2 linked regions of the Bombyx mori genome follow. The protein of the gene in region 2 purifies or fractionates together with the protein of the main gene of each other region. This does not show direct contact. Links are inferred from orthologs where the notes say so. Each region holds a gene or a part of one and is shown on either strand. Other genes may lie near its edges. The genes, in order: wibg and mago nashi.

Region 1 (4,404 bases), on a different chromosome or scaffold from region 2:
CAGGCCATCTTGTTTCAGCACACGCAAGTCTAGAATAAATGAATATGGAAAAAAATATCTCATTCCATCCCATATACCTGTCATCTATCCAAGAAACTTCCAAGCTATATAGAATAAGTTAAAAGTACTAATTTACTGTTTCGTTATTATATAAATGTAATGAATATTAACTAATAATACATTTATTACTAAATTATTTTGTTTTTTAATCTTACATATCACGTGTCTCCAAAATGATTTTCAAAAAAGTATAGTGCAGGAAATAGGAACTTCTACGTTTCCCACATTCAGACCTCCACACGACTTAGTAATCCAGAGCACAAAATTATGAGACAATTCGAATAAATAACTCAAACACATTAATGTTGTAAATATATTGTATAATTAAAAAGAAACATTTCACTCGCACATCCACCACGACACACACATAACAAGAACATGATAATCAAATGTCTCATAAAATCTTGAATTGCAATAAATCATAGAATACTATTCTCTAAAATGTCAATTTCATTTAAAATTTCATTCTTTTTTGACATTTTCTCTTTTTGATCTTTATCAGGGCTCTTAAGAAGCCCTGCTTTTATTTTTTCCTCTAGAAACTCTATTTCTCTAAGCTTTTTTCTGAGATTCTTGAGGCGTTTTGTCGGATCAGACTGAGATATACTTTCAGTCGGTACTGACTGACTAGGTACGGTTGGTTCTTGTATTTCACATTTGGCAAGTTTTTCTGCAGCTTCTTCAACACCTGTAACTAAAAATTTAGAGTTCATAAAAATCAAAATTCTCTAACCAAATGTTCACTGCAATAATATTGGTTATTTTTAGTGGTGTGATTGAAGATTACATTTAAAATATAAAGTAACTAAGTTCAAAAATTTAAAATGGGTAAAGTATTAAGAATCTTTAAAAATAATGTATCAAAATTTTTGTGAACTATCGGCTTGATAGCTCTTGTCATTTTTTAAATATGTTTTTGGAAGCTAAGGTTTACATATTTACTAAAAATTGCCTTAAACGTTCATGTTCACCAGCCGTGTATGCCAGCAAAATAATAATCTTCTATAATATGAATAGGATAGTATGCTTCCTAATATTGCTATTGAGCTTTTTGAGACTGCAACTTAAAATCCCTAATACTAATTATTCCTCAAAAGTTATTCTGTAAGATTACCCTGTCTTATTCTTTATTTGTGAAAGCTATTCATAAACATGACAATGTGTTGCTGTTTTGACTAGATTAATTTCCCTTAACTGCGTTTGAACTCCCTGTCAAGTGTCCTTCTATATTCTTTGTCACTTGATGAAGCTGTTGTGGCCTAAGTGATAAGAAGCCCGGTGCATTCGTATCAAGCGATGCAATGGGGTAGGAATCTGCAGTCAGGTACCATTTTTTCTAGTAAAATAAGTACATAACAAATGTTCATGATTGACTTCCACTGTGATGGAGTAAAATCGTGTATTAAAAATAAAACCCATAAAATTATAATCTGTATAATTAGTGGTGGTAGGACGTCTCATGAGTACACAGGTAGATAACACCACCCTGTTTATTTTTGTCGTGAAGCAGTAATAGATTTTGCTTTGAAAGGTGGGGCGGGGCAGCCATTGTACTGTAAAAGGTTGGTGGTATTTAGGTTGTAGATGTTTATGGGCTCCAGTAACCGTTTAACACCAGGTGGGGCATGATTTTTTCCAACGAAATAAGAAAAAAAGCATATTTATTACTCATTTCATCCTTAAGTTTTTTTATTCTAAAAATATTATATAGCAAAGCTCTAGATAGTTTCTATAGCCAGGGTGATATTACTGCAGGAATCTAGCAAGTGCTGGAATATTTTCTTTTATGTAATTTAAGAGTACCTAGCGTGCTAGAGGAAGAGCACCAGCTAGATGGGTGGACCAATTTAAGGAGGTGACTAGAGGCCAGATACAGGAAGCGGTACTTATGGCGCAGAACCGGACCGAGTGGAGGAGATTGACATACAGTCATGATCCTCAGCATAGAGGGAACGACCAGAAAGAAGTCACCTCACACAGAAAAGTACCTTAAATTTTTTCATGAAATATTAATTCAGTAAGGACTCAAAGCTTCATTTATTATATATGAGCCCTATAGATAAGCAGATGAGCTCAATGACCATTTGATGATGTAATAACATATTACACCAAGTACCATTTTGCTTCAGGAACAACAAAAAATGTTTTTTTTTATACCTGTCTTCTTTTTCTTTTTCTTCTTTTCAACAGTTATAATCATTCCAGGTATAGGTTGGATAGTGCTTCGTTGACCTTTCTTCTTTTGTGCTTGAGCTACAATCTCAGGTGTAAGTCCAACCGGAAGTCCATCATTTTGCCTGGCCCTGAACTGTTTTCCTTTGCTTTCATACAACGGTACCTCTTCTTGAGGTACATAACCTTCTTTTATTCTTCTCGGCTTGCGCCAGGTTCCATCAGGTCTTTGAGTTGCAGGAATGAATTTACTCCCTTGAATGTTGAAATTTTTAAAAGTTAAGTTTAAATTAATTTTGTAAAGTTTTTGTAATTAGTTTTATCTTTGAAAATCAGTAAAAGTTAAGCTCGATTAGAAATATATAATAGACTGTTAATTAACAATAATAGGTAATATATTTGGATGAAAAATTCAAGTATTTAAAGGACAGTTCTTCCTATAATTATTGTGTGAAACGTTAAACTCTAATGTTTACAAAAAAATCGTATTGTATCAATTAATTCGAATATCTTCAATCACACGAAACGTGGTTAATGTGAAAACTACTAGAGAAAGCGGTGAGGCTTGAAAATTCTTCAATCGTGAATTTTTTTGTACACTAACCATCAGCGTCGTGCTCATAAGCCGTTGGTGTTGACATTATAATACATAAGATTTCAATTTGTATTTCAACATTTATAAATCACGGCAATGTATTCTTAAATAATGAGCTATTTTCGTGGTACTCTACACAGTCAAACCAAGATTCACACAAGAAACTATTTTGACAAATAAAATATTGAACCGCTTTGTTTGACACATAACAGAGGGACCATAGATTGTTACTTTTTACATATATAGCACTCGGTTTCTTTCTCTGCCATCGTTACTCGTGTCGAGTTTGATGGTTTAATTTTATTATTTCAAAGATACATTAAAATACTTTGTTAAATGAGAAATAAGATTAATTTATCTGAAATAAAATGATATGATACAAAATTAAAGGAAATAGTATGCTAGTAAGATGAGAATTGACTGCTATTTTAGTTAACTTTTGAGAAAATATCAAGAATTCTCGTCTAAATACTTATGAGTAGTTTTTACATGAAAAAAAAACATATTAAAATCCACTATCGTCACCTTTTTTAACTTATCCTATAATATTATATCCTTTTTGTAACTTCAAGATTTCTCCAAAAAAAAAAACAGCATTCAACAAAAAACACGAATGTAGACCCAAAGTTAGAGTAGCCAATGGCCTTATACAAATTAAAAAAGAACAAATTAAATATACTGTGCACATCTCATTTGTTTTGATTAATTATTTTAGTTATTTTAATTTTAAATAGATTCAAGGAGCAGGTTTAAAAATGCGTAAACGAAGAAGGATTTTCACTCCAATCAAAAACAAAGGAAAGAGTATAACGCAATTCCCTCAAATTTCTAATAAAGGTTTGATCAACATAACGAACTTTAATACACAATTGTAGGATATAAAATTTTCCTGATATGGTAGTCTCGTTGGTTGGTGGTTAAACTTTTAGCTTAGGGGAGGACCATGTTCGATTTGAGTTTCCTTCAATAAAGATGCAGAATATTGAATATCGAATATAAATTCTTAATTTAAAAACGAATTTTTTTGCTGAACTGTTTTAAATTCAAAGCTTACACCGGATTCGTATCTATAATTATCTATTGTATTCCCGCGTCTAGTTTATTATATATAATGTCAGTCATCATAAAATCACTAACACGCTAGTAGTCGAAGATCCTGATAAATGCAAAGTATTTAAAATGTCGTGAAAGTAAGATACGCGTGATTAGAGCGAAAAAATAGTTACAATTACATCTTTTAAAAACTGAAGAAAATAGTATATCACATATTTTAATGTTTTTTGTTTAAACAAACAGTAAAAGAGGTGACAACTGCTCGAGGGAGGCTGCAGGGAGCGTTAATGGAAATATTGGAACCGGCATTGGATTCTGATGACTCTACTGAACTTACACCAGGGAAAAGAAGGTATTTATTCATAGATATCTATTATACATTTTAAACTAGAATTGCATTATATTTAATATAGTTTAAGCTAATAAATAAGACTGAGGCCATTGAGACTTCGAGGAGTTTGTCATGATAGTTGATTGATGAAAAATCAAACTAGACACAACCATCAACGATTAAGATCATGACA
Region 2 (4,058 bases):
AAATGCAGCGCTGACTCACTTCCACGACTACGGGGCACAGGGTGCCACCGCTCACGGCAGGCCGGCGAACCAGTGCCGTCGGAAGCTGCGATCTCCAGAAGGAGCACTCTTCACTTAGTGAAGAGTGTGGAGAGCGCAGTCCTTCCGCTCCTCCTAGTGCTGATTTTGGTCCGCGTCATCCGATCTCTTTCGTTGCAAAGCCTATCTAAGCTATCCTAAGCCTAACCCTAAACCTAGGACCTTAACCTACATCTAAACCTAACCCTATACCTAGGACCTTAACCTACATCTAATCTAACCCTATACCTAGGACCTTAATCTACATCTAAACCTAACCCTAAACCTAGGACCTAAACCTAAGAATCCTTGCAACGAAAAAGATCGGACGATACCTCTGGGAATGTCGCCCAGAGGATCCCGTTATCCGCCACCTACGGACGCGCCACGGTGGAAGTCCAGCAAAACTCCCCCACAGACGGAGCCCCCGGCCACGCAGAGTGCGCACCGGGGGGCCCGCCCAGGTCCCGGGATTATAATGTATACCTACATTATCTCTTGAAAGATAAATAATGAACATATTTACTTATTTGTTTATATTACCTATATGAACTCTTAACCTATCTTTTTTATACCTTCATAGCGATAGGTATATAGGAGGATGGAAAAAATGTATTTGGTCTAACTTTACGCGAATGCACATTATTTTATTTATTTATTTTTTAATTTTTTTAATTAAACTGTATACCAATTAATCGATCCTTCAGGATTTATAATTGTTTTTTTTTTCACGATTAAAACCGCGTAGAAAGTTTAGGCATTATAGTTGACGCATGCGCCATAGATTATACACTTATGGCATGCGCAGTACACATATTTTGTATACATTTATTCAACTAATACAATTAATTAAACAAAAAATGAGTAATTTCGAAAGAGAACAAACGTATTTTATATAAGAACAATCGAAAATGAATATTTACGAGTAATTAAGGACGAAAAAATATTAAAAATTGCAATCGAGGGGCTAACTTTTAGATATATTTTTAATATTTTTTTTAAAATAATAAAATGGGGAACAAACAATTATTAACAATGAACAATCAAGAACAAATGATGAACAAACGAATTAATAGAAAATAAGTAGAAAACAGGAAAAAAAATTTTTTTTGAGGGGCTAACTTCATTCACCCTACAGCAGTGCTATCATACGAGTATCAAGGCTTTTGGTACTATTAAATATGCGAAAGGATTTTTGGCTGGAACGCGAGGAATTTTTATTTTATTTTAATATTATAGTCCGTTTAATTAATTAGTTACCTACGAATTGCTAATTATTCGTTCGAAGTTTTTTATTGAACTTCAATTAAGTATATCTCATTCGTACAGCTGAATAAGTTTTTGTGTTTTGATATTTTTTCCAAATTTTAAGCTTTCAACGGCTCTCGGGTAAAGTTGGAAAATTATCAAATTAACCAAACAGCCTTTCACTCCTCGATATCATCTCATCTTATTTTATTTCACGTTTGATTTCATTCAACTTCATTCCGTAATCTTCGTAATTTTTCCTCTTTATCTTTTTGCAAAATGCTAGGCTGTTTAGGCAATGTTCTCTTTGTCTTCCTAATCGGACAACTGGAAGTATGAACCTTCCATAAATCAAACAAACAAACACCACTCTACAATACTCTACATTGAATTAAACACGCGAGTGTAATCTGAAGTTTAATTCTGAAATTAATTTAACTGATAATTTGCGTTTGAGGGTTTTCTCATCATTGAGTAATTTTCTTTTAGTGTATCAGTAGAGCCGCTAAAGTGGAAGTTCTCGAGGATAAATTTAAAACTCTGTGCAAAATGTCTACGGATTTTTACATACGATATTATGTTGGACACAAGGGAAAGTTTGGCCACGAATTTCTCGAATTTGAATTCCGGCCTGACGGGAAACTGCGTTATGCCAATAATTCCAACTATAAAAACGATACAATGATACGTAAAGAAGCCTATGTTCACCCTTGTGTAATGGACGAGTTAAAAAGAATCATAATTGATTCCGAAATCATGCACGAAGACGATCGCCTGTGGCCACAACCTGATAGGGTTGGTAGGCAGGTATGTTAAAATTCCACAACTAACTAATATAATAAGGTTTTCCAAATTTCCTGAAAAAAATTATCATTGCAAAAAGTTAAATTTATTCTAACCTAAAACATTGATTTATAATTATATGTGTGTATTTTATTTAAAGACAAATTTAACACGGAAATGCAAAGTGAAACTAAGTTTTTTACTTTATTCTTTATGAAACAACCAAGTTGATGAACTATGAACTATGAACAATCCTATCCTAAATCTAATTTGAGGCAAACTCAACACTAAATGAAATATTAAATGCCTACATAGAAGTTATTCATCATCTTGGATTTTCACTTTAGTTTTCTGGTTCACATAGCGAAGATTTGCTAAAAGTATTTGGTATTTTCAAAGTACTAGCCCTGAACAAAGTTAAATCAACTAAAGAGTTTTTGGATTTGAAATGTTTTCATTAGGACTGATTTGTAATATGACCTGCCAAAAGGTTCATTTAAGGACATTCTAATACCATCTTTAGCTTTACTGCCCTGTACCATATAACATTATATTTTGTAACTACTGGCCCACTCTGTCAAATTAAATCTATAATTGCTTCATAGTAGAATTATTCAGAATGTTGGCGCTAACTTAGTTCATGGCCATACAGTATGCTACCACTAGTAATTATAATACTTAGTCTCTTGATTGATGGAAGTTGAAGGCAATCTGCTACAGCATGTGTCTTTGTAGATTACTGCTTGGCCACAGCACACTCATCTATGTCTTTTTAAGTCTTCTTCTTCTTAATCGTGATTTTGTTTTTAGTGATGCATTTGCTTTAAAATTTATGCATATGCTGTTATTATAATAAATAACATTGTATTTTACATCATACAACATCAATATCGCATGAACTCCCTTCAAACCCCCTAGGTGGCCCACACACTTGATTCCACATTCTTAACATTAAATTTGCTAATAGCTGAACTATAATGTAAGCTTGTTTAGACATGTAGATCTTTGAATTAGTGAAATAGTTGAAAAATCTCCCAAATTCCTTTCTGATTCTTCTCAAAATGTAAAAAATTTTTTTTTAATAAATTTAAATAACATTATTTATAATTTATTATTTGAACTTTAATTTATACAAATTATATTAAGACGAGAAACATTAATGCTGTACTAAACACTATTTTTATTAATTTTCAGGAATTAGAAATTGTTATTGGAGAAGAGCATATTTCTTTCACTACTTCTAAGACTGGATCTTTGGTTGACGTGAATCAATCCCGCGACCCTGAGGGTCTTCGTGGGTTTTATTATTTAGTTCAAGACCTTAAATGTCTAGTATTCTCTTTAATTGGGCTACATTTCAAGATTAAGCCTATATAAAAATTATAATCTCCTATTCTTGAGTAATAAAATATTTACATATAACAGTTTTATTTATTTTAATTAAGCCAAACACAAGTAAACAAGCCAAAGTAAAAAATTCATACAGATAATAAAATTATAGATATGCAAAAACCTAACTAATGCCCATAAAGAATAATAGATGGTAAATAAATGATGTTATATTTTTGGCTTGATTATTTTGGTTTTTAATGTTAATTTACCTCTTTTTACATAAATATGTAATATGGCAATGTTAATAATGTTTACTGTCTCTGCCAGAAAAATCTGCTAAGAACTCCACTAACTCCCACAACACAAATGTATGGATTTAGGTATAGGTGCAATGCAAGATTATTTTATGAATTAATCTACACATTACACATATAGTTTCGATTGTCTCCAATAATTAAGAAACTTTTTAAAAAATAATGAGAAATATGGTGTGAATTTTATTTTCGGTGTGGAGAAGATAAATTTACGTGTACAAGTGCCGAACAAAACATTTAGGCCATCAGTCTACTAATTGAAAAATCTAGCTATTTCAGCCTCTCGGTGAATTAAAATTTTATTTCCAACAATTATACGATATT

The links.
Region 1: the proteins of mago nashi (region 2) and wibg purify together in Drosophila melanogaster (affinity purification with western blotting; 4 studies listed by BioGRID, with this or other methods). This does not show direct contact. The link is inferred for Bombyx mori from reciprocal best matches to the Drosophila melanogaster genes mago and Pym.

What each region holds. Positions count from the first base shown.
Region 1 is NC_085114.1:15,048,767-15,053,170, reverse strand, and holds wibg (partner of Y14 and mago), read right to left. Parts: upstream 3,056-4,404; 5' UTR 2,874-3,055; coding exon 2,837-2,873; intron 2,488-2,836; coding exon 2,218-2,487; intron 755-2,217; coding exon of another isoform or gene 749-754; coding exon 480-748; 3' UTR 360-479; downstream 1-359. Other genes in the region: protein lin-37 homolog, read left to right, coding at 3,583-3,664, 4,124-4,232. UniProt on the Drosophila melanogaster protein: Regulator of the exon junction complex (EJC), a multiprotein complex that associates immediately upstream of the exon-exon junction on mRNAs and serves as a positional landmark for the intron exon structure of genes and directs post-transcriptional processes in the cytoplasm such as mRNA export, nonsense-mediated mRNA decay (NMD) or translation.
Region 2 is NC_085121.1:13,251,642-13,255,699, forward strand, and holds mago nashi, read left to right. Parts: upstream 1-1,720; 5' UTR 1,721-1,854; coding exon 1,855-2,112; intron 2,113-3,282; coding exon 3,283-3,465; 3' UTR 3,466-3,510; downstream 3,511-4,058. UniProt on the Drosophila melanogaster protein: Core component of the splicing-dependent multiprotein exon junction complex (EJC) deposited at splice junctions on mRNAs. Involved in exon definition of genes containing long introns, including the rolled/MAPK gene.